Mus musculus: one gene and its partners. Each later gene encodes a partner of the first gene's protein in a complex. Links are inferred from orthologs where the notes say so. Each region holds a gene or a part of one and is shown on either strand. Other genes may lie near its edges.

Evidence for each region.
Region 2: Srrm2 (region 1) and Scnm1 share a complex: the UniProt entries of both Homo sapiens proteins name them as parts of the minor spliceosome. The link is inferred for Mus musculus from reciprocal best matches to the Homo sapiens genes SRRM2 and SCNM1.
Region 3: Srrm2 (region 1) and Snrpe share a complex: the UniProt entries of both Homo sapiens proteins name them as parts of the minor spliceosome. The link is inferred for Mus musculus from reciprocal best matches to the Homo sapiens genes SRRM2 and SNRPE.

What each region holds. Positions count from the first base shown.
Region 1 is NC_000083.6:23,808,559-23,819,098, reverse strand, and holds part of Srrm2 (serine/arginine repetitive matrix protein 2), read right to left. Parts: intron 9,131-10,540; coding exon 9,053-9,130; intron 8,687-9,052; coding exon 8,624-8,686; intron 8,361-8,623; coding exon 8,328-8,360; intron 8,069-8,327; coding exon 8,018-8,068; intron 7,461-8,017; coding exon 7,368-7,460; intron 7,283-7,367; coding exon of another isoform or gene 7,240-7,282; exon of another isoform or gene 6,672-7,239; coding exon 6,479-6,671; intron 3,978-6,478; coding exon 1-3,977. UniProt on the Homo sapiens protein: Required for pre-mRNA splicing as component of the spliceosome. As a component of the minor spliceosome, involved in the splicing of U12-type introns in pre-mRNAs.
Region 2 is NC_000069.6:95,129,037-95,139,676, reverse strand, and holds Scnm1 (sodium channel modifier 1), read left to right. Parts: upstream 1-5,664; 5' UTR 5,665-5,781; coding exon 5,782-5,832; intron 5,833-6,048; coding exon 6,049-6,119; intron 6,120-6,388; coding exon 6,389-6,477; intron 6,478-6,565; coding exon 6,566-6,660; intron 6,661-6,763; coding exon 6,764-6,852; intron 6,853-7,650; coding exon of another isoform or gene 7,651-7,690; exon of another isoform or gene 7,691-7,871; intron 7,872-9,318; coding exon 9,319-9,484; 3' UTR 9,485-9,513; intron 9,514-9,793; coding exon of another isoform or gene 9,794-9,893; 3' UTR 9,894-9,958; downstream 9,959-10,640. Other genes in the region: Lysmd1 (lysM and putative peptidoglycan-binding domain-containing protein 1), read right to left, coding at 1,143-1,281, 1,691-2,052, 4,681-4,860; Tmod4 (tropomodulin-4), read right to left, coding at 10,567-10,589. UniProt on the Homo sapiens protein: As a component of the minor spliceosome, involved in the splicing of U12-type introns in pre-mRNAs. Plays a role in the regulation of primary cilia length and Hedgehog signaling.
Region 3 is NC_000067.6:133,599,913-133,610,552, reverse strand, and holds Snrpe (small nuclear ribonucleoprotein E), read left to right. Parts: upstream 1-272; 5' UTR 273-335; coding exon 336-389; intron 390-808; coding exon 809-835; intron 836-1,593; coding exon 1,594-1,656; intron 1,657-3,973; coding exon 3,974-4,052; intron 4,053-6,476; coding exon 6,477-6,532; 3' UTR 6,533-6,682; downstream 6,683-10,640. UniProt on the Homo sapiens protein: Plays a role in pre-mRNA splicing as a core component of the spliceosomal U1, U2, U4 and U5 small nuclear ribonucleoproteins (snRNPs), the building blocks of the spliceosome.

The DNA of each region.
Region 1 (10,540 bases):
GAGGAGGCAGACCGGCTTCTACGAGAGACTCTAGCCTTCCTGGTTAGCTCAGGAGATGATCGAGAGCTCCGGCGTCGAGGTGGTGTGTGAGACTTTGTCTTTGGCTCTATTGAGGACCTGGAACCTCTTCGAGCAGTTCTGGATTTGGGGGCGTGTTCTGGAGAAGACTCAGAACTACTGCTTCCTTCAGGGGAAGGACCTCTCTCTTTGCTTGATGAACCTGATCTACTATGCCTGGGCAGGGCCCGAGGAGCAGGTATCTTGTGTTCAGGAGAAGAATCAGTACCACTCTGAGCCCTCTGTAGCACTCTTGGCTTATCTTTCATTTCCGGAGATGAGCCAGACCTACTGAGCCTGGGTGAGTGTCGAGATTTGCTGTCAACCTCTGGAGATGATCCAGAGTGACTCCTCTGTCTGAGAGGAGTCCGAGTCTTGGGTTTGGAATCTGGAGAAGAGTCTGACTCACTTCTTTCCTGTGGGGACGCGCTGGGCTTTCCATCAAGCTCTTGGGAAGACCCAGATCGACTTCTTTGTCCCGGAGAGGTCCTAGCCAGATTTTTCTGTTCTACTGATGATTCTGACCCACTTCTTTCTCTCTGAGGGGTGACACTCTTGTTGTTGCGCTCTGGGGATGATGGAGAATGACTTCGGGCTCTAGGAGTCTGAGGCAATGCTTTTGGTTCTGGAGAAGAGTCACATTCACTTCGTCCCCTGGAGGGGGTTTGAGGTGTATCTTTCATCCCAGGAGAGGACCCAGATAGGCTATGCCTAGAAGGAGTCCCAGACCCATCTCTAAGTCCTGGAGAAGACCCAGACCGGCTTCTCCTAGATGGCGTTCTAGGCAAACCATCTTTCAGTTCAGGAGATGCAGAACTACTTCTTTCTCTTGAAGGTGTTCTTTGTTGTACAGTCTCAAGTACAGGCGAAGATACTTTCTGACTTGAAAATAATCCTACCTTTTCCACTACTTCTGGGGATAACTCAGAACTGCTTCGCCTGGAAGACCTTGACTGTTCTTTCATGTCCACAGATGGATCTGCCTCTGTTTGATTAAGGAATGATCCATTCAATTCTTCTTTAACCTCAGGAGAAAAGCCAGTATTTACTTCTGAAACAGGGCCTGAGTTTTTAAACTCTAAAGATGACTCAAAGCTATTCTCCCTTGGGGGAGAATGAGATAGTTCTTTATGCTCTGGAGAAACTTGTGGCCCACTCCAACATGAAGCCACTGCAGGGGTTTCTGCTGCTTTTGAAGGCTGTGACTGGCTTTGGTCAAGAGCAGACAATACAGCAGGCCTTTCTTCTACTTCAGGAGATGACTCAATGTTACTTCCAGGCATTTCTTTATGTTCTGGAGATAAACTGGGTAGAACTTGGCTTAAAGGTTGCTCAGACTTTTCTACTTCCATTAGTTCATCTTGACTTGAATTAGGTAATAAACTTTTTTGGTCTCTTTTGCCTGGAGGTGAGCCAGCTCCACTTCTTTCTTTTAATAGTACTCTAGGTGTGACTTTCAGTACTGTGGAAGACTCAGGCCTATCCTGTGTAGGACTAAATTTGTCTCTTGGTATACAAGATGATGCAACATCCTCTTGAATTAAACCCAGTCTCTCTTTTAATTCAGAAGGCTCCAATCTGCTCTGCACCAGAAAAGATTTAGAGTCTACTAAAGGATATATGCTAGAGTCAGGTTTAGTCTTACTCTGCTCAGGAGACATTCCTGACTTCAGCTTTGGATCTGTTGATATTTCACTTTTATCTTGTTTTACTGGTGATCTGGCTGTCAGCTCAGTGACTGGAGATGAAGATCTGGAAAGGCTACCCTTAGGAGATGTTTGGGATTTGCTCTGCAGCAATGGAGATTCCACTTGAGTCTGCATGACTTCTGGACTTGAAGTATCTGGCCAAGTTTGAGTGTGTCCTTTTTGTTGCACAAATGAGGCGCTAAAACAGCTCTCTCCTGGTACTATACTACTAGGTGTTACACCTGGACAGAGGTGAAAAGATCCAGAGCTTCCTGTTGGTGAATCCCTAGACTTCTGGGGACAGGGTGACTTTGATCCAGAAAGATTTTGATCTGGTGGAGTCTGGAGCATGCTTTTTAGATATGGAGATGTAGATCCTGAGTGTCTCAGTGGTGTTCCCAGTTCCATCTTGGAATCTGGTGAGGAGGATCTAGAACGGCTATGTCTTAATCTAGAGTCTACCTTGGGGCAAGGAGATATTGATCTGCTTTTCCTCTGAGGTGTCCTAGATGTCACTCTACTAGGACTTGGAGAAGAGGAGCTAGAATGGCTTCTTCCTCTTGGTGATATCACTGTCTTCACTTTGGGTTGTGGAGATGACGACCTAGATGGGCTCTGTCTTGGAGGTGTGCTAGATTTCACTCGAGGAGAAGACCCAGAGCAGCTTTGTCTTGATGGGGTCCTTGATTTCACCTCACCATCAGGTGATGATTCAGAATGGCTCTGTCTCTGTGGTGTTGCAGTGCATTCATCAGCCTGCATGTTTGTTACAGACCCTGGTCTTGGTGGTGTTCCAGATTTTACTTTAGGCTGAGGAGAATTTGAACGACTCTGTCTTGGTGGTGTTTTTGACTTTTGTTTAGGTGGTGAAGAACCAGAACGACTTCGCCTGGTTGGTGTCTGTGACTTTTGTTTAGGACATGGAGAGGAACCTGAAAGGCTTCGCCTCAAAGATTTTGCTTTGGATCGTGGTGAAGAAAGAGACCTGCTCCGTCTTGAGGAAACGTGAGATTTTTTCATTTCTGGGCTTGAGTTGGATCTGCTTCTCCTCTGAGATGTTCTAGATTTGTTCTTCCTCTCTGAGGATGAGCCAGATCGTCCTCTTCTTTGTGGTGTTCTAGAGTGAGATCTTCCACGTCTCACAAGACTTCTACTTCGAGATCGTCGTCGTGCTGGTGTTCTGGATCGTGACCTCCCTCTCCTGGCTGGCGTTCTAGACCGAGATCGAGCGCTTCTTCTGGCTGGCGTTCTAGACCGGGACCTCCCTCTCCTGGCTGGTGTTCTAGATCTTGACCTGCCACTTCTCCTGGCTGGTGTTCTGGACCTAGACCTACCACTTCTCCTAGCTTGGGATCTACTCCGAGACCTCCTTCGAACTGGTGATCGTGTCCTAGACCTGCGGCGAGCGGGTGTTCTTGATCTGGACCTGCCCCTGCGAGCTGGTGTTCTAGACCGAGACCTACGCCTGGCAGGTGTTCTGGATCGTGATCTTCGCCTGGCAGGTGTTCTGGACCGAGACCTACCCCTTCTAGCTGGTGTTCTAGATCGGGATCTGCCCCTAGTAGCTGGAGATCTAGAATGTGATCTGCCTCGCCTTGCTGACCTAGACCTGCCTCTTCTCTGGGTATTTCTGCTCCTGGACCAACCTGGCCTCTGAGGAGACCTTGAACGGCCACGCCTCTGGGGACTTCTAGATTTTCCCCACCTCTGTGCAGATCTTGACCTTCTCCACTGAGGGGACCGGGACCTGGAGTGACCTCTCTTGGTGGGGGTTCTAGATCGAGACCGTCCCCTCTTAGTGGCAGGACTACGAGACCTCCCTGCTCTATGAGATGGGGTATGAGAATGAGATTTATCCCGCTTTGCTCTGCCATGCGAGCGATTCTTAGATGTGGGTGAAGAAGAAATCTCTCGACGGGACCCAGGAGCTGGTGTGGGTTTAAGACTTTCAGGAGAAGAGCTGGCATGCCGAGAACCTTTGGTAGGTTGAGGGGATGGTGGGCAACTTTCTGAGGAAGTAGACTGGGGAGGTTTCTCAGGAGACTTAGGTGGTGAACAGCCCCGGGTTGGGGAAGCCTCAGATGAGGGGTTAACTGGCTCCTGACTGGACGGGATTGCTGCAAGGGGTCGTGGGGAGTCGACATGTTGCTCAACAAGGAGCGGAGTAGGGGCAGGTAGTTCTGGCCCTGTGCTGCTCCTTTCCGGAGAGGGGCTAGGTCGAACTGCAGATTTCTAAGAGTGAAAAGAGAAGTAGGAATAGTAAAAAAAACACCAAAACCTCATTATCCTATAAGATACGAAGAGTTTCTAATAAAATTTTACACTATATACTTCTTATACCAATTGACCCTTTCCCTACCCATAGTTATACTCAGTAACAAGACAATATGCAATGCTTAGTTGGGAGCCAGTAAGATAGCTTAATGGGCCCATGAGGTGGCAAAGAGAAAACCTACTCTTCAAAATTGTTCTATGAACTGCACATGTGCATGTATCACATGCACACACACAAAATAAATGCATTTTTAACAATGAGAAAATAAAGTAGCAAGGGAAAAACCTGACCATATAAACAATCTCTAACCTCAAGTAGTAATTCAGAGAAACAAGAAAATGTAAACAATGCATTACCAACAAAATACCACCTGCCCTGTGGTACACCTTATAGACAGACAGCCCTGTCTCCATTTTGCATACTGGGGTTACACATAGACTATCACTAGCAACCAATTACTCACCTACTAAGTCATTTTCCTTTTTTTTTATCTTACCTCTTAATTTTTTTTTTGCTTTGTACATTGTTCTCTTAAACTTACTCAATATCTTTTGATGAGTGTTTTAAACTCATCAAGCAAGTCATCTCTATTGAATGTTTTTTTCTTTTCAAGGGAAAGTGTCTGACGTTGTGTATGGGTTGCAAATGAACACTACAACACCACCCAAAAAAGGTATAATTAAACAAAAAGAGAAAGTTTGGGTGACAATAACTTTCACCTGAATATGGACTGACTTAAAATATCACAAATGGGCACAAGGTTTTAAAGTGTATAATGTGTTAAATTTTATCAAGAGGGGCCTGGCATGGCCATATATGCCTTTAATCCCAGTACTTCAGAGACAGAGGCAGGTGGAGCTCTGTGAGTTTAAGATTAGCCTGAACTATGTATTAAGTTGCATGACAGCCAGGGCCTTATGTAAGGAGACCCTGTCTCAAAAACAAACATACTGACCAACAGTCAATGAGATGGCACTTGCAACATAAGCCTGGTAACCAGAGTTCAATCCACAGAACACATATATAGGTAGTTTTGTCCTTTGACCTCCAAACACATGTAACACATTTGCCTCCCCCTCATACATACACACAAAAATTAATTCACCATGGTCTTACAGGAACAGGCCAAACCATAAAAACAGCTTAATTACAGAAAACACCACAAACACCATAGCAAGCAGCAAAGTTTTCTTGTAACTTATCTTTAAAATGAGACACAATACGGGAAATATTAAGTTACATTAATTACTGAAACCAGTAGAAACAATCAGCCACAGAACTAGAATAGAGAATATAAAACAGGAACTACTAAAAAGATAATTCTTTCATGCTTTCAGATTGGTGGCATCAAATCAAAGGATTGAAAAATGTAAGAACTCATGACAAGCATACAATAAAAAGGATATAGATACTTTAAGTAGTAAAGTTAAAGGTAATTTTTAGAAAACTTTTTGTTGGGGGGTGGGTATGGGGGACCTTTGGGATAGCACTGAAAATGTAAACGAGGAAAATACCTAATTTAAAAAAAAAGAAATCAAAAAAAAAAAAAAAGAAAACTTTTTGTTGGGCAGAAGCAAGATGACAAAAGAAAACATCATCCTTGGTCATAATTCGATGTACATGTGCCACTTCTATGGCACTAAGGCACTTAACCACCACCTTCAGAAGTTGACCTGTGGCAAATGTGGCTATTGTGGCAAGAGCAAGAGTATTATTGGAGTCCCAAGACTAAAAGAGACAAAGCACTACTGCGTCTGGGTGGATGAGGAGCCTAAAATTGTTTATCCCACATTCAGACATGGATTCCTTGAAGGAACAACATCTCAACCCAAGAGGGCAGTTTTAGCTGCTGTAGCATCCAGTTCACCTTTAGGATTTCAATCAGTCATAAAATAAATGTTCTGGTTTCAAAAAAATAAACCATTTTGTTCTCTGTATGGATATAAACAAATTACTGATATAAAACTTACTAATATCCAATGAAGTTTCATTCTGAAGACTTCACAATTTAGTGGGTCATAACTCTAAAATACTTGTAGGTGTGTAAAAGGACTTGGAAACTGAATGAGGAATGTAGGGCTAGGAACTCAAGTATTTCTCAGTAGTTGTTTATAGATGGCATTATGCACCACTAAACTTGTCCATGTTGCTGAGTTCCAACTGAAGAGAACTCTTTCTCTCATTCTGTATCTTCTTTGAATACTGTCTAAAAATCTTCATATTTGCTTACACTATTGGTTTCTCTGAAACTACCACCCAATCCACTCACATACACCCCCACACATGTAACTGCTTTCTATAGCTGCTTGTCAACCTTGATCTCTGAACCTGACCATAATCTAAAGGACAAGATTTTTGTCTAATAAACTACATTATGTACCACACTTGCCCATTTAAGGCACATCCCTGAGTAAATAAATCCCTGCAACCCAATGAACACTACCAACTCAGAACATACCTCTTTCTTATCTTTGTCTTCATAAGGACTGCTAGATTGCTTTGTAGAGGGAGCTGGGCTACTAGGTTGTTGTATGTTGGTGGCACCTGGTTCAACAGAAGGTGCATCTCCCTCCCCTTGATGCCCTGAAGCAAGGGGAGGACTTTGCCCAGTCAAGGCTGTTGTATGAATTTTAGCAGCAGCACTTCGAGACCTGTGAGTTAATGGAGGGCAGGGGAGACCAGGAAAATCAGCTCAAAGAAGAATAGAAAACCCCCTCCACCCCCAGTTAGCAATCCACTTTCCTGTATGTACAACCTTTTTTTTCCAAAAAAAAAGAACCAAACCAAAAAAAAAAAAACCAACAAAACAATAAACAAACGTTCTTAGTCACATGACTCAATTCATTTTCAAAAATGAAAATACAAGTCCTTTTTTGTTGTTCTCTCTCTTCCCAATATAATCCCAAATAATAAAAGTCCCTCTACCCCATTATTCACCACCCTCCAATATACCCAAACCTTCCACCCAGGCCCTTCCCTACCCACTTCATTCACAACTCACCTCTGAGCCCACCTCCTTCAGGAAGCCTTCCCCGATTAAGGAAGCCAGGGTAAGGACTCCTTTCTCCCTCAGACACCACCAAACCAGCAAACCACCCCCGCCCTATTCTGGCAGTCCATATACATCGTAACAAACAAAAAATAAAAATAAAATAAAATAAAAAAAGACAAGGGGAAATGTATATGTCTGTCCATCCTGTTGCTTTAGCCTGTCAGCTCCTAGAGGGCAGGGACCGTGTCTTCGGAATGGTCTGTGCAGCGCCTAGCACACCGTGGGCGCTCAATAAATATTAAATTGATTAACCCATCATTCCCTCTCCCTCCATTCCTCATGGACCACCCCTTACCGACTACGAGAAGTATCAGAGGAAGAAGCAGAGTCCGCAGAAGTTGACCGATGAGCTCGACGGCTCTTAGGAGCTGGTGTTGTACTTCGAGACCTGAAGGAAAACCACCACAAAGCTCAGGAGACTGTCATACCTAGCATGAGTTCTCCCAACTAATTTCTTTTTAAAAACAAAATTGGCTTTGGCATCGTGGGCCCTGCCTTTAATCTCAGGACTTGGGAGGCAGTCATGTCAATCTCTATAAGGTGAAGCCAGCTTCATCTAGAGCGTGGACTCTATAATTGAACTACATAAAAAGACCCTCTGTCAAAAAATATTAAAAAAATTTTTAAAATTACATTTAGTTTATTAAGTATGTAAAAGGAAGTCAGAAGACAAGTTATAGGAGTTCACTCTCCCCTTCCAATACGTTAAGTTCCAGTGATAAAACTCTGGTCTTTAGGTTTGATAAAAAGGGCCTTCACTTCCTGAACCAGAGGTAGACCAGGCTGGCCTCTACCTCCTCCCTCTCTCTCCCTCTCTCCCTCTCTCCCTCTCTCTCTCTCTCTCTCTCTCTCTCTCTCTCTCTCTCTCTCTCTCTCTCTCTGGCACAATTATTTTTAATCCTTCCCCAAGGGAAGCATTTTTCTACTTCCCCCAAACACACTTACCGTTTCCTCTTCTTGTCCTTTGATTTGCGTTTGCTCTTTGGAGTAGGAGACCTAGAAAAGAAGGAAATGTTTAAAAAGTAATTTTAAAATAGTAATAAAATCTGAATCTGAAGTGAAATGAAAGTAACAACCCAAGCAAGTATTATTGATAACAAGTAGGTTAAAGATTTGTGCTCTACTAAAAACAAAGGGGGAGGGGGAGATGGACACATCTTACAGACCAAATATAGAGTAAAACAAAGTCATCAAACAGTAACTCACCACTCCCATATACCACTATGTCTCCCCTAAGAACAAAAAGCTTTCTTACCTGTGTTTCCGTTTCTTGGACTCAGATTCTGACCTGTTTGTGAAAAATACAGAAAATCATTATTAACCCACACCTACCCTTCAATTTAAGAGCTACCTCCAATCACCCCCAAGAACTTCCACCTTAGCCAGAGGTGGTGGCTGTATTTCTTTAATCAGCAGAGGTAGAGGTAATAGATCTCTGCCAAATCAGAGGCCAGCCTGGTCTATATTTTGATTTCTAGGACAGCCAAGGCTATGCAAATACCCTGTTGTTTTTAAAAACCAAAACAACAAAAAGAACTTTTTATCTCATACCTGTGCTTCTTCTTCTTTGAACTCTTCTTCCTCTCTCGTCGAGGAGAACTGCTCTCTGACCTGCTAAAATGGGTTCAGAAGCAAGTCATTCTACTTGGCTTTCTTTCTGGCTATAATTCTCAAAAATGCTTCAAAAGCACCAGAAAAATCCAACACCATCAACAGCCACACTTAATTCACTTTTACATTCAATCAGTAAGCATAAAATTCAAATCCAAAATACTGCTTCCTTTTTTGGCTGGGCTACATAATCAATGATTTCCCACTAAGTATACACATTTCCTCTCAGCTGAAACCTAAAAAGTAATTCTGTTCCCTCAACTGTCACTGCAATTTGATTCTCTGCTACCTAAAAGCAAACTCAACTTCTAAAAGTCCAACAACAGGCAGTAACCCCTGGATACTAGTGTAACTCTCCAACCAACTTACCGTCCTCTATCTTTCTTCTTTTTCTTCTTCTTTTGCTTTGGAGTTGGTGAGCGAGAACTGCTGGTCTCTCGAACAAGGCTGAAAAAGGCAAAGAGATTCTAGATACCAAGCAAGACATATTTCTTTAAAACATTTCACCTTAGGGGCTGGAGAGATGGCTCCAGAGGTCCTGAGTTCAATTACCAGCACCCACTCACAATAATGGAATCTGATGCCCTCTTCTGATGCCCTCTTCTGGCATTCAAAATCTATATGCATACAAAGCACTCATATACATTTAAAAAAAAAATCACTCTAATGAATAAATATACTACCCCAATAAATAAATGGAGCAGTTCACTGATAACTTTCACCTTAGGACAACTGCTACACACCAATTTTTTTTGTGCTTGAAAACTTCAGAATTAAAGGATTTAAATTTGCTAGGCAGCGGTGGTACACGCCTTTTATCCCAGTACTAGGAGGACAGAGACAGGTGGATCTCCTAAGTTTAAGGCCAGCCAGGTTCTACAGAGTGAGTTCTAGGACAGCCAGGGCTACAGAGAAAAATCCGGGGGGGGGGGGGGGCGGCTCGGATGTAAATCCTGGGTGTGTGCATCTGTGTGTGTGTTTTATGTTTTAAGGTAGGTCTCACTATATATCCCTGACTGTCCTAGAACTACCTACTGCAGAGCAAGGTGGCCTCAACTCACAGAGATCCACTTGCCTCTGCCCTCAAAATATTGAGATTAAAGTCATGTGTCACCCAGTTTTATTGTTTGTTTTGAGACAAGGTCTTACTATGTAACCCTGGCTATACTGGAACGCAGAGATCTGCCTACATCTGCCTGGAGTACTAGGATCAAAGGCATGTACCACAACACCCAGCTTAAATAATTTTTTAGAAAAGTGAAAATAAGCCAGGCGTACGCCTTTAATCCCAGCACTCGGGAGGCAGAGGCAGGTGGATTTCTGAGTTCCAGGCCAGCCTGGTCTACAGAGTGAGTTCCAGGCCAGCCAGGGCTATATACAGAAAAACCCTGTCTCGAAAAACAAACAAAACAAAAAAGTAAAAATAGGAACTGATAAGCAGTTAAGAGCATAGGCTGCTTTTTGTAGCTAGGGGTCTATTCTCAGCACTAAGGGATGCTGAACCATCTGTTACTCTAGCACCAAGGGAATCCAATGCCCTCTTCTGGCCTCCAGGGGCACCAGGGCATTTTATAAAAGGATACATATAAACAAAAACTCATACATTTTTCTTTTTTAAAATTGACTCCAAAATAACAAAATCTAAGAGTTTGGCAATAAGCCATGGGTCATGGCAAATAAATGCCATTAATCTCAACAGTTAGGAGGCAGAGGCAGATAGATCTCTAATTTAAAGGCCAGCCTGTTCTACATAGTTCTAGGAACAGCTAGAGCTACATAATGATACTGTCTCAAAAAACAAAACAAATAAAAATAAAGTTTGGAAATAGTCTTCTAGTAATAAATATAATAGAATAT
Region 2 (10,640 bases), on another chromosome or scaffold:
GGACACTAAAGGCCACACGCAGGAAGGTGGTCATTAGAGACCTCCTGGATCTAGAGTTGGAGGCAGCACTAGGACACATACAGACGCTGTGTTCCAGAGCTTCTAGAAGGAGCTGGGGGAAGGGAGGCACAGGGGAAATAAAACCACTAAAGCATGCACAGGGCTCACGGTTTAATCTCTCGAGCTCCATACTCAGGCTAAACATAGAGGAGAGGTCTAGAAACAACACTTATTCCCACTCCTGAACCGGAGACAGACTCCCAGGACTACTGTGCCGCCATGCCTATTTCATCACTTAAGGAACAAAAGACAAATTGTACTGCAGATCAGATACAGATTACAGATACATATGAAGTGGGGGCAAGGCAAAGGTAGGCTAGGGTGCGTAACAAAGACACTTCTGTAACTGTTCTCCTTGAACCCCAAAGCATCTTCCATTCCTTAGCCCCACCACGCGCTGGGGAGAGGAGAGGAGCTGGAAGAAGGATGCTTAGTCAGTATCCACCACGCTGCCTTCTCTCAGAGCCAAGGCGTGGGAAAGGTTGTAGGGAGTTCTTAGTTACAACTGAGTCCCACCCTTTACCTTGGGAGTGGGGAAAACTCAGCGCAGTCTGCCATTCTATGGTGAGCATCACCAACTCCCAGGCCTCAGCAACAAGCTTCGCTAGGAAAGTGGGACAGGCGAGCAGCCAGCCGCCTCCACTTACAGTTCTGGGTTTCCCTATCTTCAGTGATATGGAAATTCCCCCCTCTTTTCCCAGTTAAGAGGAGAAAGGAGTTAGATATAGCAAATAAATATTACTTCAATATAGCACCAAATAAATTAGGTAAGATCATTGGAGATGGGGAGGGGTCTCTGCTTCCCTGCTCTAAGGCCAGGGAATGCTCAACGGGACAGCGAGGGCATAGAAGAGCCTTTGAATCTAAAGGCTAACTCTAGATTCAGCCCAAGAACTGGGAAGAGGTCTGCTCCCACTCGCTACGCTTGCCACTAAGTGTCCCCAGCTGAAGAAATCTTGGCAAAGATGGCTGGAGAGGAGTGAGGCAGGCTGGGAAGCTCTGTTCTTCAGCCTCACCTCAGACTCCTCTCCCCCTCGGGCTGGTCCTTCAACATCCTGCCTTGCTCATCAGTTCTGGGGACATCAGAGTTTGAAGATTTCATCTTCCTGGTCCCGCAGTGTCTGGGTCCGAGACGTCCGGGTGAGTGGCACAGGGCCTAGGACTGCTCGCTGCTGCATCCGAGGGGAGCTAGGGTAGAGACCCGTGTCCTCCTCAGGTACCCTGCCGATGAGGGAAGGGAGAAAGAGCAACAAATCAAGGCAAGGACCTGAGAATGGAGCGGTGAGTGGGGAGGTGGGGGAGGGGAGGCTGCCTCCCTTTGTTTCACAAGTTGGATGGAGTCTTGCGACCCTCTGAAGAACTTGCTCCTAAGGCTTCATCCCAGCACACTGGCGTAAGACCCCACAGACCCTGCCTCCCACGCGCTACCACTGGCGTAAGACCCCACAGACCCTGCTTCCCACCCACTACCCCATTCCAGATGCCACTGGCTCTTTCATGATTTGGGGACCACATGGGGAGAAAGGCATCCACTTGCCTGTCCTCGGGTACTTTGGTTACTTCTTAGTTTGTGACCAGCTAAAAGAAGAGGGTCTCTGCAGGGAGCTAGAAGGAGCGGCCAGAGACTCACCCACTCTCCCCTTTCCTCAGCTTCTGGGCAGCAGCCTTCTTTGACAGGCTGATCTGTGAGTCAAGCTTCTTAAGGAAATCAGAGGCAGAAAGGTCATGGCTGGGGGTGGAGGTTTCCTGGTGAGGCGGGAGGCCTGTGCCATTGGGCCGACCCGACCCTGACCCTCGATTCTTCCTCCTCCCCGAAGATGATCCGATCTCATCCTTACTCGGGCGCACCTCTTCCTCTCCATCATTTTCCTCCTCAGAATCCAAACCATTAAACAAGTCTCTGGGCTCTGATAGGATGGGGATGTAGAGCGTTTTCTTCAGGAAGATGGAGTCGTTAGTATAAAGGCGGTTTGTACGCTTAATCTGTTCCATCTTCAAACAAAAGCAACGAAATTAATGTCTGACAGTAAAATCCACCAACCTCATAAAACATAGCAAGCTCTTTTTCTTCCTTTTCACTAAGTAGAGCAGATGTTCTCAAACATTTCTGGCTTAGTATTCCAAACTTATTGGTGTGTGTGGTTGAAAACAGTGTACTTGGGGGTAGAGCCTGGAGGCTGCTATAGGGTTTACTATGTGTGTGTGGCAAGCACTTTTATTAACTGAGTTACCAAATGAGCCATCTTCCTAGGCCACCAATTCAAAGTTTTTAAGTAATCGTACAACATTATTTGACACCATAAAAAACTAGCTAAAATATAAAGAGCTGATATTAATCTTGTTTTATAATTTTCATACTTTTTAGTCTTAGGATACCTTCACATTTTTAAAAATTATTGAGGTGAGGCTGGAGAGATGGCTCAGACATTAAGAGCACTGACTGTTCTTTCAGAGATCCTGAGTTCAATTCCCAGCAACCACATGGTGGCTCACAACCATCTGTAATGAGATCCAATGTCCCCTTCTGGTGTGTCTGAAGACAACTGCAGTCTGTAACTTCAGATCCAGGTGATCTTCTGACCTCTATAGGCACCAGGCACCCCATAGCAAATGGCCATACATGCATGTGTAGCCCTATATGTCCTTGAACTCACTCTATAGACCAGGTTCACCTCAAATTCAGAGATCCACCTGCCTATTCCCCCACCAACCCACCCTGTGCTAGGATTAAAGGCATGTGCTACCACTCCAAGCTAATAGTGCAATTCTCTAATCCCAGCACTTGGAAAGCAGAGGCAGGCAGGTCTATGAGTGTGAAGCCAACTAAACTACATATTGAGACCTTGACTAATAATAAAATAAGTAAATAAGTCTTGGTGTCTAGAGTTGTAGCTCCATGGTAAAGAGCTTGCCTAGTGTGTGCAGTCCTAGACTGGACCCCTGGCAGACCTCAGATATTAAGTAAATAAACACCTCACATGTGTTCTCTCATACTTGCGCCCACCACGGCCACACGTGACTGTTCTTCCTCTTTCATGCCCACATCTTTCTCTTGATATCTAGAAAAAGCTATTAACCCTCTTGCTGGCATAGCAACTTCCTATGGCTCTTCATTGAATGAGGATTCAAAAAGGATTCAAGGACTGTGTATATTTAGCCCCCACAGGAAGTGTCTAGCCTTGTCTCTCTTCTGCATTCTACCACTGAATTACACTTTCAACTCCAGTACCCTGGTTTTGTTATATGTGGAGCTGGCCTAGAACTCTGCATCCCTTTGACTTAGGCTCCTGAGGGCTAACATCAGAAGTTTGGCATGGACCACCAAGTCTGGCTTTCAGACTTTTTTTTAGACCTGGCTGTCCTGAAACTCACTCTATAGACCAGGCTGGCCTCCAACTCAGAAATCCGTCTGCCTCTGCTTCCCAAGTGCTCGGATTAAAGGGGTACACTGCCATGCCTGGCAGCTTTCAATCATCTTTTAAACTCCCACATGACTGAGACTATGCCAGGGTTTAGAGGCACAATGTTGAAAGGAACTGATTTCAGCTCTTAAAAAGCTTGTGGGCTGCTGGAAGACAAGGATACAAACAACTGGGTTGAACAGATTTGTAGGTGGGAACAGAGGGGAAAGTTTCTAGGTCTTCAAGGCCCGTGGTGACGGTACTCCTAAGCCTGCACCTCAGAGTGTGGTTGTCACACTCCTAATCTCAGCAGTCATGATGCAAGAACACCGGAAGTTCCAGGCCACACTGTCTAGAAAATCCACCCCCCACACACACACACACACAAAACCCCACATCAAATACTATCCACTCCCACTTCCGAGCAAGACTCAATAGTTCTGGATCTCCGACCCCTTGTGGATATTCCTTACAGCATTTCTTGTTTCTTCTCTGCTCCTCATGAGAATTTAAATTCCATGAGCACATCGACAAACGTATGCTGTGTCTCCAGAAAGGCTTACCTTATGCTTTAAGTAGAGTGGCACAGGAATTTATCTAAACCCAACATTTGTTTGTATGTGGTAAAACAGGATATAGACAGGAAGGCTGCAACTTTAATGCAAGATATTTTTTATGCCCATCAAACCTCTCCTAAAGATGACCTGAAACACTTGAAGTATGTAGAGGGGACTTGTTTTGTGCCTCTGCACAAAGAAAACAGAGCCTTGGGGTGGAAATAAGAACTACAAATGGGCACCTTCAGAGTGCTAGTAAAAGTCAGCTCTTCCTTACCAGTCTCTACATCCCCACCCCCACCCCTACCCCACCCCCGCATGGCTAATAGTACCGGCTTTAGAGTCAGACAGAAACCTTACTCTGACACTTAAGTGATTCGACCTTGATCAAACTGGTTTATCAGTCTTAAGTTGATAGGGACACAAGTCCAGTTAATGGCTGTAAGCCCCGCCCCCACTCACCCACCTCCCTCACCATCTACAGGAGTTGCTCCTCCCACTGGGATAGTTGGGCAGATCTGTCCCAACAGTGCTCTGCTGAGATGTGAAAGCAAAATAAGGAAGAAAAAAAACAGACCATAATAGAATTTAAATAATGTGAGAGGGGGCATCTTAGCGGGCCACCCACTTTCTCGGGACTATCTCAATTCTGGAAGACTCACCGTTACCCCGTATTTGAGTGCTAATCCAGCCAGGGTGTCTCCAGGCTCCAATTGATGCTCCAGGCGTCTTTCCCTCACTGGGGAGCAGGATGATTGTACCAGGCTTCCATAAGAACGAGCACGGCTCCCATGCAGCAGCCCTGACCCCCCGAGGGGAGGCTGTCTAGAGGGAGAAGCCATCTCCTCACTGTCAAGACCTAGGGTCACAACTGAGGGAAGCCCAGCTAAGTAACAGTGACGGCCGAACCCAAGGAATGGATATTCAGATAATTCGTTTTCTCTTCTCTCGTCTCTCTACAGTCTCCCGACTCTCGAGAGACTACATTCGTCGTCCTCCTCTTGCTGCTTCTTGCCGTGCCTGGAGTTACTGTCCGTCTCTTAAGAAGTCTGCCAGGCCGGTTACATTTCTCTTTCCACGAGCTCCTTACCCATAAGTATCTTCCCTGAGCTGTCAGTCGCTGACCCGGTTGACTTTCGACGCCCCCTCCCCAACTCCTCGCAAGCCTGATCTCTGACCTTTGAACCCTAGACACCCTCATCAACACTCTTCCCTCAGTGTATCCCCACATCCAACAGTCGGGATGCCGGGTGCTCCCACATCCTCTCTGTTCCAAATAAGGCCCACCCCAGGTAGGTTGTGGCTGAGGAGTACGAGCCTGAGGACAGCAAGAGTTTGTAGTATATAGTCCACTGAGATCCCTGACGCCTCGCTCCACATCAGGAAGGTCCCACCCTGAAATTCCGGCTCCACATACAGGATCTTGAGTCTCCGAACACCTGGATCCTTCGAGATGTGAGGTCCTGTGTCCAGGTGAGCAGTGTGCTCTTCAAAAAAATAAAAAAATAAAATAAATAACCAAAAGACTTCATTTCCCAAAAGGCACAGCGTCTCAAAGTATTGTAGGAAATGCAGGCCCCCTCAGGGCGCTGGAGGCGGGTCTTCCGGTTCGCGCGACGCAAGCGTGGAACATCATCCCCGGAAGTACAGATTCAACAAGAAAGAAACCGGAAGCAGAGAAGGCGATAGTGTACTCTTTCTACGGTGGCCTAAAGGAGCAGCGAAGTAGGCGTAGGGGAATTTATCGTAGTCTCACAGTCGCTATGTCTTTTAAGAGGGAAGGGGACGACTGGAGTCAACTCAATGTGCTCAAAGTAAGCCTTAGTGAGAGTCTGATCACCTTCAGCCGCCCTGTTGTTTTGTTTTGTTGCTCTGGCGACATCTAGGGGAGGGCTTAGGGGACCAGAACTGAGTGGTGACCCCTACTACCCTATGATCTGCATAGCCCCGTGTGCCATTTGACTCCTTATCCATACTATTTCATTTCCATCCGTCCCTCTTACTCATTTCTCCTATCCTGCTCCCTGCAGAAACGGAGAGTTGGGGACCTGCTGGCTAGTTACATCCCTGAGGACGAGGCACTGATGCTGCGGGATGGACGGTGAGAGCGAAGAGTGGATCAAGCCTGGGGATTCGGGGATCAAAGGCTCAACAAACTTTTGTCACTAAGGAGTTCAGGAGTATAATAGGACTCTTTGGCTGGAAGTGAAGTGTAAGGGGTGGAGATCGGGAAACCTGGGAGTTGGTGGTGGAGTACTCTGACAGAAGTAGGACCTACTCACCATAGCAAGAACACCCCGACTGCAGGCTCTCGAACACACAACATACACACCACACACCACACACATCATTCACTTCTCGTTTCCCTAGCTTTGCTTGTGCCATCTGCCCCCATCGACCAGTACTAGACACGCTGGCCATGTTGACAGCCCACCGTGCAGGCAAGAAGCATTTGTCCAGTAAGTATCAGAGAAGTGGGGAGGGCGGGAGATGGAGAGCAAGCCACCAGGCATTGTGCTTTTCATTCCTCCTTGCTTTTGTTCTCAGGTCTGAAGCTTTTCTATGGCAAAAAGCAAACAGGCAAGGGAACAGAGCAAAATCCAAGACAGCAGAACGAATTGAAGACAGAAAGCAAAACTGAGGTGAGAGGGCATCAGGTGTGGTTTAGACAGGGCTATACTTCACACAACAGGCTTGAGGGAACGTTTGCTCCTAACAGCTCTAACTCTGTCTCTTCATCACCAGGCTCCTTTGCTAACCCAGACTCGAATCATCACCCAGAATGCTCTACACAGAGCTCCCCACTATAACAGTTGCTGCCGGAGGAAGCACAGGTCCGTGGAATGGGAAAGCCAGGAGTGGAAAAGGGTAGAAGGAAATAGATGACTTTAAAGTTATTGCTCTCCAGATTGTATTCTGAGAAATAATAATCTTGTGGAAATATTTTTTTTAAATGATGGTAGGGGCTGGACAGATGGCTCAGCAGTTAAGAGCACTGACTGCTCTTCCAGAGGTCCTGAGTTCAATTCCCAGCAACCACATGATGGTTCACAACCATCCATAATGAGATCTGGCGCCCTCTTCTGGGGTGTCTGAAGACAGCTACAGTGTACTCATATATATAAAAGAAATCGTAAACCATCATTTTTTCAGGTTTTTTGTTTTTTGGGTTTTTTGTTTGTTTGTTTTTTGAGACAGGGTTTCTCTGTGTAGCCCTGGCTGTCCTGGAACTCACTCTGTAGACCAGGCTAGCCTCAGAAATCTGCTTACCTCTGCCTCCCAAGTGCTGGGATTAAAGGCGTGCACCACCACTGCCCGGTGGTTTATGATTTTAAAATAAATTTTTTAGCAAGTGGAAAATTGTAGAATAATCATACTTATTAGGAACATTAGGGCTTGGTGAGATGCCTCAGTGGTTAGGAACGCAGGGGGCTCTTCCAGAAGTCCTGAGTTCAATTCTTAGCAACCACATGGTGGCTCACAACCATCCAAAAGGGATCTCTTCTGGCATGTAGGTACACATGCAGACAGAGCACTCCTATATTTTAAAAAGTGCAATAAATAAATACATTCAAAAAGAGAGAATTGTAACATTAGTAGAGCACGGTGGTGTACTTTTTGTTTGTTTGTAGCCCTGGCTGTCCTGAAACCCTGCTATTTAGACCAAGGTGACCTCATATTCACAAAGATCTGCCTGCTTCTATCCCTCAAGTGTTGGGATTAAAGGTGAGCACTCCATGCCTGGCCTTGGAAAATCTTAAGACAAAAACTTAGAACCAGCCGGGCAGTGGTGGCGACGCCTTTAATCCCAGCACTTGGGAGGCAGAGGTAAGCAGACTTCTGAGTTTGAGGCCAGCCTGGTCTACAGAGTGAGCTCCAGGACAGCCAGGACTACACAGAGAAACCCTGTCTCGAAAAACCAAACCAAACCAACCAACCAACCAAACAAACAAACAAAAAACTCTTAGAACTATGTATTAGAGCATAAGGAATATGGAAAGTTACAAAACTTATGGAATATCTGTCTATATTGAGGTAATTTATTGTAATGACTTACAGTTTGTAGTCATGTTGTTGGGTTACAACAATGGGCAGCTGTGAATGAGAAGTCTAAGAATCTAATAGTTGCTCAGTCCCACAAGGCTGGTTGTTTCAGCTGGTCTTGTATAAATAGGTTCTAAAGATGTGCTTGGCAAGTAAGTGCAAGCAGTGGAAGAAGAGTGAGTCTTCCTTCTTCCAGTGGTCTTATGTAGGCCTCCAGCAGAAGGTGTGGCCTACATTAAGGCGTGTACACCACACCTGGATCTGGGACTTGCTTTGTCCCAGGCTGACTTTGAATCAGAGTTCTCCTTGCCTCCTGGGATTAAAGGCATGTTATACCTTGCCTGGACCTAAGCTTTTCACAGCCACTGTGCCTCAAGATCTCCATGCCAAGATCCAGATCAGAAGCCTGAGTCTTCCAGCCTCAAGATCTGGATCACAGGTGTGCCCCCCAATTCTGGAATTTAGTTCATTCCAGACATAGTTGACAACTAGGAATAGCCATTACAAACTATTAAGCTAGTTTTTCCTCAAATTCCTTTTTTTCTCCTTTATTTTTTATTTTATGTGCATTGGTGTTTTTCCTGCATATATGTCCGTGAGGGTGTGAGAGGTGGAGTTACAGATATTTGTGAGCTGGCATGTGGGTGCTGGAAATTGAACCCAGATCCTCTGGAAAAACAGCCAGTGGTCTTAAACACTGAGCCATCTCTCCAGCCCCAGCTTTTCTCAAGTTCCTAATTCCAAGGTCTTTCTTTTTTTTTTTTTTTTTTAAAGATTTATTTATTTATTTATTTATTTATTATATGTAAGTACACTGTAGCTGTCTTCAGACACTCTAGAAGAGGGAGTCAGATGGTTGTGAGCCACCATGTGGTTGCTGGGATTTGAACTCCGGACCTTTGGAAGAGCAGTCGGGTGCTTTTACCCACTGAGCCATCTCACCAGCCCTCCAAGGTCTTTCATATGTAGAATATTTAAGATCTTAAGGAACTGGAGCCAGGCAGTGGTGATGCATACCTTTAGTTCTAACACTTAGAAAGCAGAGGCAGGTGGATCTCTGAGTTTGAGGCCAGCCTGACCTACCGGAGTGAGTTCCCGTCAGCCAGGACTTCACAGAGAAACCCTGTCTCAAATATCAAACAAACCAAAGTCTGAAAGAAATCAGTTTCAAGCGCTGCTCTTCTGGCTTGGGGGCCATGGGGAAGTTGCTGCTTTCCTGTACTTAGTTTTACACACTTTGGTTCTTCACTGCCCAGACCAGAAGCCCCTGCTCCCTCTGTCTCCAGTCCTCCTTTGCCAACTGCAGAGGTCCAACTCCAGAGTGCAGAGATCAGTAAGGAACCTGAGCCTAGGGAGAGATCAGATGCCAAAGAGTCAGCAGCTCTCTTGGCCTCTGCACCCATGAGCCCCACCAAACGATGAGTCCTGAACCATTACCTTACCCTCCGAAGGTGAGTGAGTGCTGGATTGCGGTCCTTGGGTTTCCTTCTATTTCCCCGGGACCTGCCTGTTTTCAGACCAATCCAACTGCTTTTTTCTTATCACCAGTAACCTTTTAAAAAATTGTATTTGCTTATTTATCTTTATAGGGGCACACTTCTGTAAGTCTGAGGGCAGCTTACAGGGGTTGGTTCTTCCTTCCTATGCTGTAGGTTCCTGGGATGCAACGCAGCACAGGAAGCCTTTCATAAATCTCCTCCCTGACCAGTTCTCTTTCTCTCCTGCTCGCAGCTCTGGATGGGTCCCAGATGGACGAGGTCGATGGATAAAGGATGAAAATGTTGAGTTTGACTCTGATGAGGAAGAGCCCCCCGATCTCCCCTTGGACTAACATTAATAACCCCTTTCCCCATTTGTCCTACAAATAAACTGCAGTGGGTCCTGGGAGCACACTGATCCTGGAGTCCGGTTCCTTGTTCAGTCTCAGGATTTCAAGTCTGCTCCTTCGCAGGCTGGCCACTCCTTCCCTACAAGGTACATGGCTCCCCATACTTCTGGCCCCTCCTCCACTTTCTCTCAAAACCTTGCCAAGCGTCAGCTGCTTTCAGCCCGGTGCCCTATTAATAAGTCTGTCAGAAAGAGGTCGCTGCCCTTCATGGAGTCTGACTCCTTCCCCGCCTCCAGTGAGTCCTTTTCTCACAGATCACACTGTGGCTAGGCACTAAGGGGCTCTGGCCACCTCTGTCTACAGCTTTGTCACAGAGGACTGAGGCCAAGTACCCTGCTGAGAGACTAAAGCCTTTGGCAGATTTATGGGGAACACAACGGACAGAGCTCCCCCTCTCCTGGTAACCTGAACCCCTGCCTGCTGATCCCCAGAGTATAAATAATCTCTTGATGAACTGGCAGTAACCCTTGGAGGGTAGCGCCAAGATTCCCACCCCAATCCAGGCAAGGAGACAGGCGGCGTGAACAAAAGGGATTTTATTTACAGGAAAGGAGAGAGAGATGAGGATCTGTGCGTCCCAGGCTCTCATCTCTTGTTGGTAAAAGGAAGGGTGATGTTATCTCTTCTTTTGCTGACGACCTGGAAAGGAAGAGCCGTAAACAGAGCTCCATTTGTTGTTTTGGCAAGGGT
Region 3 (10,640 bases), on another chromosome or scaffold:
AAAACAAATAAGGGGAGTCTGCAGATGGTTCTGGACAAGATGCCGCCTCTAAATTCCAGAGCAGCTCTCAGAAGAGCACCTAGGCAGAGGCAAGCCTCTCAGCCTACCTCCAGGTGGCGCTGTAGGACCGACCTCGACTTCAAAGAGCGGTTGAGTCGGAAGGCCGCCGGCGGAGTCTATCAGCATAGAGAAAAAGCGGCTCCTGGCCTAGAGAGGCGTTCCCCAGGACCGGCCCGCGTCGCCGACGACCACTGCACTTCCGTTTCCGGGTCTTGCTTCCGGAAGTCGCTTTCCGAGGCGGCCTTCCTACTCGTGTGGTCTTTGTGACTTCCACCATGGCGTACCGCGGCCAGGGCCAAAAGGTGCAGAAGGTGATGGTGCAGCCCATCGTATCCTACGCTGCGTGAACTCGGGGCTTTGGGGGCCGTAGGCGCCGTGAGCGTGGGCGGGGAGCCGGGCAGCCCGCTGCGGGCCGCTTCCCGTGAGGCCCTGGGGCGAACGGGGAGGCAGGAAAGCGCGCGGAGTTGAAGGGCGGCGGGAGGCGGGAGGCGGAAGGCGGGCTCCGGGTGGACCCGGCCAGGCTGGCGATCCGCGATGAAAGCGGGGGATACCGAGGAGGAGAGGAGGATGTGGGCCATCGGGAAGGTTGGAGAAACGAGGGCGGTGGGGAGGGAGCGCATGCTCCCGGCGGTCGTTTGTGCTTGCGGATGTAGCCCGGCCGGACCTTGGGGCGCTGGAGAGTCCGGCGCGGTTGGGAGCGGAGGCTCCGCTGTTTGTGTAGTTCTTTTCCTTGATCGCCGTGCTGCAGAACCTTATCTTCAGATACTTGCAAAATGTACGTAAGTTGTTTCCTTACTGTTACTGAAATGAAAGTTGGGCCTGTTTGACTCTTTGTAACAAATTCTCTGTTTCTAGTGCTTAGACTAAAAAATTGGGGGGGGGGGAGAACCAGAGTTGAGGATAAGGTCACAGGGAAAGCGCTAATTATTAATATGTCCGTGCTGACTTAAGGATGCACACAGTTACCATTATTCTGTAAGAACAATGTAATTATATTTACTATTAAAATTACTCTGTAAGAACGATTTGTCATCGGATTTAGCAGTGACAGTTGCATAGTGCTTTTTCCATAGTTGGACTTAGAATGGAGAAAAGACACCAAAGCGGGGTTTGGGGGAGTGGGGGCGTTATATACAGAGAAGCGAGTGGCAAATGCTCTTCTTTGAGGAGATTTTAGCGATGTTTATTTTAGAGTGTTACAACACAGATGAAAAATCGTTTTAAGCCATTGTAATTTTTAATCGCCAGATTCGCTTTGTACTATCCTGTGAACAGTTCTAACTGTAAGTGTATTCATGCCAGAAGCAAAAATAAATTTTCAGAGTAGGAAAATTAGTTTGGACAGGCCTGCCCGAGCACTTATTAAATGTTTCTCAGCAGGTTAACCAGTGTTGCTAGCTCTTAGATGAAGACTAACTAGTTCTAGTTTTTGGCTTATATTTATTGGAATTTTTAAGATAAGTCGTTTATTGTGGAAACAAAGTAATGGAGTGGGATTTGTTTACATTTCTAAAGTCATTATTTTTATTTCAGAGATCTCGAATTCAGGTGTGGCTGTATGAACAAGTGAATATGCGGATAGAAGGTTGTATTATTGTGAGTACCCAGGCTATTTTTCCTCAAGTTGTTATTAAAAAAGACATCTCAGAAGATGGCCAGTAAGAACAATATACAAGGCGTCAAGGACCCAACCCAAAGAAAGCTCTTCAGAGCTGGAGTTATTTATTTAGCCTTTTCTCCTTGCTCTGGTTAATAGGGTTAGATAATACTTCTCTTAAGAGGAAGGGAAGGGAGAGGTTAGGCGGTGGTGGCGCACGCCTTTAGTCCCAGCACTCGGGAGGCAGAGGCAGGCGGATTTCTGAGTTTGAGGCCAGGCTGGTCTACAGAGTGAGTTCCAGGACAGCCAGAGCTACACAGAGAAACCCTGTCTTGAAAAACCAAAAAAAAAAAAAAAAAGGAAGGGAGAGTTAAGACTTTTAAGAAGAGCTTCGTTTGTGAGGAGAGGGAACAAAAACAAAATGAGAGGGGGGCGGGGAGTGATAAAGGACTTGCATTCTGGATTAGATCATGCCAGAATAGAGCTGGTGGGGGTGAGACTTATGGTTTGTTAGGCTTCTATCGTGATGGTGTTGGGGATCAAAGTACCTGCTCTACCACACAGCTACCATGGCAATAAGTTTTTGTTGTTATTTTAGATTTATTTGTCTGAGTGTTTTGCCTGTGTGTGTTTAATGCCCAAACAGGCCAGAAGTTGTTGGCTCACCTGAAGATGGGTGATTGTGAGCTTCCATGTAGGTGCTGGGAACCAAACCTGGGTCCTTTGCAAGAGCAGCAAGGAAGGATTTGTAACTCCACCACCTCTCCCGTCTCTGTTTTTCCTTTGTGTGAGGCAGAGTCTTTTAAGAGAGACTTACACATGGAAATCCTCTTGTCTGAGCCTCTTCAATGTTTAGATTAATAGCCATGAAAATGGAAAAAAAATTTTTTTAAAGATTTATTTATTTTTATGTGCAATGGTGTTCTGCCTACTGTTATTTGTGTGAGGGCACCAGATCCCCTGGGACTGGAGTTATCAACAGTTGTGAGATGCCATGTGGGTGCTGGGAATTGAATCTGGGTCCTCTGGAAGAAAAGCCAGTCTTCTTAACTACTGAACTGTCCAGCTCTGGCATTGTTATTTTGAGGCAAGAAATTGCTATGTAGCCCAGTAAAGGCCTTGAACTTCCCATCCTGCCTCAGCCTCCTGAGATTTACAGACGTGCTCAGCCTCACTTTTTTTTTTTCTTTTTTGCATCAAGGGAGTGAGTGGGGTTGCTTTGTACATACTCATATGTGTGGATGTATGTGCTAGAGGTATCTTTTATTGCTCTCTGCTTTTTGAGCCTGGAACTCATGGATTTAACAAGACTAGTTGGCCAGCACTAGGTGCGGCTGCAGGCCACTGTGCACTGCATTGTTTGAGTAGGGATCCAAACTCATGACTGCATGTACTTTACCAATTGACATGTCTCCCTAGTACCTACCCTTCCTCCCAAAGCTGCACAGTATTTTGTTATTTTATGTAGATATCAAGAGTGTCTATCAATACTCTCTTAGGAGTTGGTAAACAAGCACAGTAGTTAGTGGGAGTCGTGTTAGTGAGGAACATGGGTGTGCAGTGACAGAAGGCAATTCATGTGTGCACATGCCGAATTGGGTAGTGTCCAGCAGGCATTCCTGGCGAATATTTACCTCTAAGGGATTGAAGTACTTTGGATCTCATTCTAGCTTTCTTTGCTATTTAAAAAGAGGTAGGCTGGGGATGCAGCTCAGTAGTAAACCTCTTGCCTAATGGGTAGAAGTCGGTGCGCTAATCCTCAACACCATCTCTGCCCCCAAAAAGGAATGAAAATGCCCCCACGCATTGGGCATGTCACATATGACCAGGCATGGTGGCACATACCTGTAGTCTCAACACTTGGAATAGAGAGGATAGGAGATTTGTGAGTTTAAGGCTTTCCTTGGCTGTGTGGGAAGTTTAGGGCAAACATAGGCCACATAAGACGCTGTCTCAGAAGTAAGGGGCTCAACAGGTAAAAGTATTTACTATTCTTGCAGAGGACCAAGTTCAGTTCAAAGTATATACCTTTGATGGATCACAACTGCCTGTACTTCTGGCAGGTGGATCTAGTGCCTCTGCCCTCCTTAAGCACCTGTCCTAATGTGCACGCATCGATCCAAAAATAAATACATACAGGTAACACTTTAAAAGAATACAAAGTAGTTAATAAGTAAGTAGAGGCTGTAGGTGTTTGTGTTGAAAAATCAGTGATAGCATAAAATTCTAAAATTTGTTGATATTTCTGAATCTAATTATTCTTTTAGAATGGTCGGATGTGATTTGCTTAAAAATGATTGTCATTTGCCTTCCCAGGGCTTTGATGAGTACATGAACCTCGTATTAGATGATGCAGAAGAGATTCATTCTAAAACAAAGTCAAGAAAACAACTGGGTAAGGAGATAGTTGGCTTTACAGATTTCTGTTTATTTCACTGGCAGACTTGAATGGCCTATAGCTGAAAATTCATGCTATAAAGTTACATTTGAAGGGAGAAGCACACTTCTGAATTCATCTTCCTGCCACTTACTCTGTTACCCACTCCTTTGTTTTGTTCATTGATAGGGTCTCAGGTAGCCCAGGCTACTCTCAGTCTTGCTGAGAGTGACAGATTGAACTCCTGGCCTTCCTGCCTCCCCCTCCCAAGTGCTGGGATCATAGACATTCGCAACCATGCCTTGCCAAGGATGTTAAATCTGATGTCGTTTTTTGTGTTCACTTATATTTAACATTAAGTAGAATTTGACACAGTTCAATACTTCCTTGCAATACTTTGATATCTTGGGTTTGTGACATAGTATGTCAGTTTTTATTCAACTCTGGCTGTTTTTTTTTTTTTTTCCAGACTTCTTTATATTCATCCTTTTTTACCCGGCCATTAAGTATTTGAGGCTGGGTTCCAGCTCGCCCTTCACAGTCTTTCCCTAGGCCAGCAGTTCTCATTCTGTAGGTTATGACCCTTTTGAGAGTTGAACGATATTTCACAGTGGTCTCCTAAGACCATCAGAAAACACAGACATTTACAATATGATTCATAATAGTAGCAGAATTACAGTTATAAATTAGCAATAAAAACAATTTTATTGTTGAGGGTCCGCACAACTTGAGGAACTGTTATTAAGGGGCTGCAGCGCTAGGAAGGTTGAGAGGCTCTGTTCTAGGCTTCTAGTGTTCAGTGAGATCACAGCTCCAGGTACTAATCTGGGCATTGACTTCCTTATTTATGTGTATAGCCCAAACCTCTTCTGAACCTGTTTAACTTTCCACATAGAAGGTTTTTAAGGCAGCCTGTCAGAAGCCAACTTCACTGCCTGCTTACACTGTTCAGCGTGGGTTTGCTGATCACTTCCTAACGGAACAGTAGTTTCCACTAACTTACTAACTTTTGTAGCTCCCTCATCCATTTGAAGTTGCTCTCCAGATGTAGCCATCTTTTTGAAACACTGGGTCTGACCTTACCAGCTTTTGCTTGAAATTTTCCATTGTCTGTTTTTCCTGAGGGGACAGTGTGATGTTTTGGCAAGAGCCTTCTTATCTGGCCTGATGTTCGCTCATCTTGATTCACACTGTCCCATTTTCTGAGCAGTCTCCATGCTTGTCTCCTTTCAGTTTGTTTTTTGTTTTGGAGGGTTTTGGGCTGGATTTTTGTTTTTTGGGGGGAGGGGGGCTGGTTGGTTGGTTTGGGGGTTTCTCTGTAGTCTTGGCTGTCCTGGAACTCTCTGTAGACCAGGCTGGCCTCAAACTCACAGAGCTCACTGCTTCCTGGAGTGCTGGGATTAAAGCTGTGTGCCCCCATTGCCCAGCTCTTCTTTCAATTCCTTAAGCCTGCACATTGGCCTCACTTTCTGTTTGAGGTAGGATCTTCCTGTTTAGCCCAGGCTGGCCTTAACTCTGAGATCCTTGCTTCATTTTCTAAATGGCAGTGTTAACACAATTATCACGCCATGGTTATTACACTTGACTCCATCAAATATTGCTACGTGTATTGTTCACTGATCAAACTTTCTCTAGGAAACCCAAATTTAATTTAGTTTTTCTGGGATGGGAGAACACAAGATGTGATATGTTGACTCTGTAGTGAATCATTTATTTTATCGTTGCCTCTTTGTTAGACTGCATGCTCCCTGAGTGCATGAGTCATGTCCTCTCTGCTTCCAATGACCACCGTAGTGCTTCACATAAACTCAGAAAGCCCAGGGAACAAGAGGACCCATGGTCTCATTAAGAGATACTTTACTGAGGTTAGGTTATCTTTTGTTAGAATAGTCAGTGCTCACGTGCGTTTATTAGTGATGGAGTTCAGGTATCTCTTTCCCAAACCCTACTGACCAAAGCTAGATAGGTGGAAGGTAGATTCTAAGAAATGACTCTGTTTTTATTTGCTTTTGAGGTGCTCTACCTCTATAACCCAGGCTGTCCGATCTTACCTTAGCCTTCCAGTACTGGGACTGCAGGTGTGCACTGTCTCACGCAGCAAGAACTCAGGCTACTGCAGATGGAATTGAAATGTATACTTGACAAACACTCATTTCTAAACCCTCATGAACTTAGTATTGGGAGATGCTGTATTGGGCCTTTTCACTTGACCTAGACTATAGGAACTATGTTTCATTAAAACAGCGCTGTTTCGTTCTGTTACTGAAAGCCCAGTAGACCTGGTGGAAGCCTTCAATATGGACGATTGAAAATGTTCACATAGCGTTATGAGAGAGAGAAGTGCCTCAGTACTATTCAGAGCCAAACTCTGAGGCTGAAAGATAAGTAAATGTCTCTCTCTGATTAGTCACAGCTTTTGTAACACTTTTTTTGTTGTTACAGGTCGGATCATGCTAAAAGGAGATAATATTACTCTGCTCCAAAGTGTTTCCAACTAGCAGTGAATGGTGAAGTCTGTAGGATGTTGAGAAGACCCCTTGAGCGTGTTTAAAGATGTCTGCTGCAACCTGCATTTACTCAACTTGTTTTACTTGCACATTATTATTAGGTGACAATAAATGCTGTAGGAAGTTTTTGTTAAAATTTTACATTGTTTCATTCTGGTGGCAAAATGCTTTTACCTAGGGTCGGTATTTAAGGTTTCTGAGGGCTTCCAGTCCCCCTTGACATTTGCTTTTCTCGGAGCATGGATCTGTACGTTCTTGAGGCAGATTAAGAATTCTGCCTGCACAGGTAAGCTGCTAAGGTTGGTGGAAAAGGCTGGGGGGGAGGGGGTAATTGAAAATAAACAAGTTTTGTTTTTTACTAGTGATGTACTCATCAGTTCTAAGTGCTTGTCTGTCACACGTGAGGCCCTGTTAGATCCCCAGTGTTACAGAACAAAAACCCACCGCTGACTTCTGAGTACTGCGACACCAGCACTTGTAAGTGCAGGAGGTTGCAAACATGCTTGTAGTTCTGTTTGCTTAGCAATTACTGAGACACTGAAGAATTGAGAATCTTATCACTAAGATGAGAATGTGGAAAGCAGGTATGGTGTCCTGTGCCTGTAACCCAGCAGGAGATTGAAGAGGGTGGAGTGAAGGACAAGGTCTGTCCAGGCTAGATAGCAAGAGTGGCTCAAGAGCGGACTAGGAGGGAGGGTAGAGTGAGATACCTTTAAAGTACAAGTCAGATAAATGTAAAAAACTAATAGGAAGCTCTTGGGAATCTTAGTTTGGGAAAGACCACAAACACCTGGTAAATTAGTCGTTAGGTAAAATAGTAGCATACTGAAAAGACTTACTTGTTCTCATCTGTAAAGATTTAGGTTCCTTCCCAAATGATAATGCTAATTTGTTTGGCCTGCGGAATGTCTCAGTGGGTAAACATTTTCAAGCATGAGGACTGGAGTTAGCACCCCAGAACCTAATGACAGTTGGGTGCCTTGTGGTCTGCCTGTAATACCAGTCCTTAGGAGGTAGAAATGGAACCTGGAAACACCATCTGCAAACTGTGGGTTTAGTGATAGACTTCCCTAAAGTGTAAGATGGGAGTATGTGAGGAAGACAGACAATGTCAGGCATGCATAAACATGTGCTTCCACCCCTTAAAAAAACAAAACAAAAAACCTTGTTTTTTGTTGTCTGGGTTTTTGTTTTGTTGTTGGGGGGTTGTTTGTTTTGTTAGTTTTTTTTGTTTGTTTTCTGAGACAGCGTTGTACGTTTCTGGCCATCCTAGAACTCTCTGGACCAGGTTGGCCTTGAACTCACAGCATCACTTGCCTCTGCCTCCTGAGTGCTGCCGTTGTGAGCCATCACTATCTAGCTTTCTTCTTCTGGGTCTCTGATGAGGATGTGCTTGCTGACGACATAGCAGAAATACTGAGGTTGGAACAGCTTTCAAGAATCAGTTCTCCATGTGGAAACCAATTGGTGTGTGGGTGTTTGTCTGTCTGTCTGTATATGCACATACACTATGTATACGGGTGTCGTGGCCATCTGTGTAGGTCGGAAGACAACTTTGATGAGTAGATTCTCTCCTTGAGCCATGGAATCTAGGTGGCCAGCTCAGGTTGTTGCTAATACCCAATTGCCTTTGCCCAGCAAGCCATCTTAGTTTCTGTGTATGCACGTATCTGTGTATGTATGTATGTCTCTGAAACAATCTACTAGTGTCCATAGAATCAGAAGAGGGCATCAGATCCCCTGGAGCTGGAGTTACCAGCTGCTCTTGATGGATGCTGTGATTCTTAAGGATCTTCATGGTTGAGTGGTAGCTCTTCCTTTTAGCCAGTTTTCCACCCAGCCACTGGCTCTTATATTTTTTCTCTTTAGGTGCTGACTCGCTGGGTAATCCAGACTGACCTCAGATTCATGATCTTGCCTCAGTCTGCTGGGACTGTAGCCATGTATCAATATGACTGATGGGCTCCTAGTTTGTTTTATTTTGTTTTTGGAACAGGGTCTCATGTAGTTCAGTCTGGACTTTAATTCAGTATTTAGATGGATGTACCTTGAACACTGTACGTATCTTCGGCCTCTACCTCCCAAGTATTAGGATTGCCAGCATACATTATCATGTCTGGTTGTGTGTAGTTCTGAGGAGTGAACACAGGTTTCTGAGCATGTTAGGCAAACACTACCAGCTGAGCTACATACCCAAGTCTTAATAAATACCTCCTTCCTTGGGATTTTCACACACAGCCCTTAAGTTAGTATTCAAAGTAATACACTCACTGTGGCATTTCCATACATACGTCATTATACTGTAGTCTGATCAGCCCCCTCCCTTTCCTCTGTCTCCTAACCCCATCTGCCTGGATCCCTTCCTTCCCCTAAGTGGCCCACCTCCCTTTAGGTTTCCTTGATGGAACTTGTCTGAGTCTCCTGTAGTTTGCTTGGGATCGAGATTGCCCATCTTACCAATTTCCTTGTCAGTGTGATGATCTGATGTTTACAGATGAACAGGATTTGGCGTGTATTCCATGCTCTTTTATTCCATTCGTGTTAAGGGACATTTAGGCTAACTTGTGAAAAGTGCCACAGTAAACGTGGAAGTGCAAGTCTCTCCAATCTTTTGAGTCCGTGCGAGCCATATGACATTTCTGTGTCCCCACCCCCCGCATGTACCCAACAGGGTAACTGCTAGTCAAGTAGCATATGAAAAACCTCATGGGAATTTTCTCTTTATGGTCATGTCCACAGTAACATTTCTGTCTTTTGAGAAACCTTCATGCAGACATTAGTAATCACTATCAGGCTTGTGGCCTGAACAGCAGCAGTAAGTTTCTCTTTCCAGCACTCGCACTGGGATTTGTTAGGGTTTTTTGTTTTTTTTTTTCCCCCTCAAGGATAGCTGTTTTGATTGGGATGAATGAGATGGAGTCTCAGTTTAGATTGTGATTGTGTGAGAGACTATAGGTGTATGTATGGCATGGCATGCATATGGAAGTTATAGGTCCTCATCTTCCACTTTGAGACTGAGTCTTTTGTTGTTGTCCACTGCTAAATGTAACAAGCTGACTGGCCCATGAGCTTCCAGGGAATCACTTGTCTCCATGTCCAACCTCAGAAGCACTAAGATTACAGACATACTTCCCTACTGCCTGGGATCAAACTCATGTTCTCATGCTGCCGTAAGCATTTTATTTCTGAGCATATCCCTAGATCCTCAAATCAGTCCTTCCCCCCCCTCCCCTGTCTCCCCTTTCCCCTTCCCTCTCTCCCCTCTCCCTCACGGAGTTTATCTGTGTTCTGGCTGTGCTGGAACTCACTCTGTAGACCAGACCAGCCTTGACCTAGGAGATCCATCTGCCTTTGCCTCCTGTGATTAAAGGCATGTACCATCACTGCCAGGCTCCTCAAATCACTTAATTTGCATTTCTGTTGGCTAAGGATGTTCAATACTTGTGACTATTTTTGAAACTGCAGTTTGCCTTCCCGGTTCATTAGATGGTCTGCTTTGGGTGTTGACACTTTCTGGAGTTCTCCGTATACTCTATACATCCCTGTGGGATTGATCATTGTGGCAAAGATTTCCCCCTCACTTAGACTATCACTCATTTTCCAGCTCTTGGGAAATGTCTTGTGCCGATTGGAATCCTTTTCAGGAAGCTTTTATCTTACAGTTTTTATAATTTCCTCTAAGTTCAAGGATTTCAAGTCTTATCATTTGTTTCATGTGTATGTGTTTCAAATCATGTATGTGGAGATCAGAGGACAACTTGTGGGAATCTGTCTCCTTCCATAATTTGGGTTCCAGGTATCTAATTCAGGTCATCAGATGGCTTGACCCACCAAGCCATCTCCCTAGCCCCAAGAGACCTAGTATTAATTGCCTTTGCAACTAAGTTGACATTTCCCCTTTAGCTTTCAATGTCATTTCTTTGCCTTTTAGCTTTTAGTATCTTGACTCTACTATGGGGTGTGTGTGTGTGTGTTTGAGGGGTTTGTTTGTTTGTTTGTTTGTTTTTTCATGGCAGAGTTTGTGTAGCCCTAGCTGTCCTGGAACTCACTCTGTAGACCAGGCTATCTAAGAACACACAGAGACCCACCTGCCTTTGCC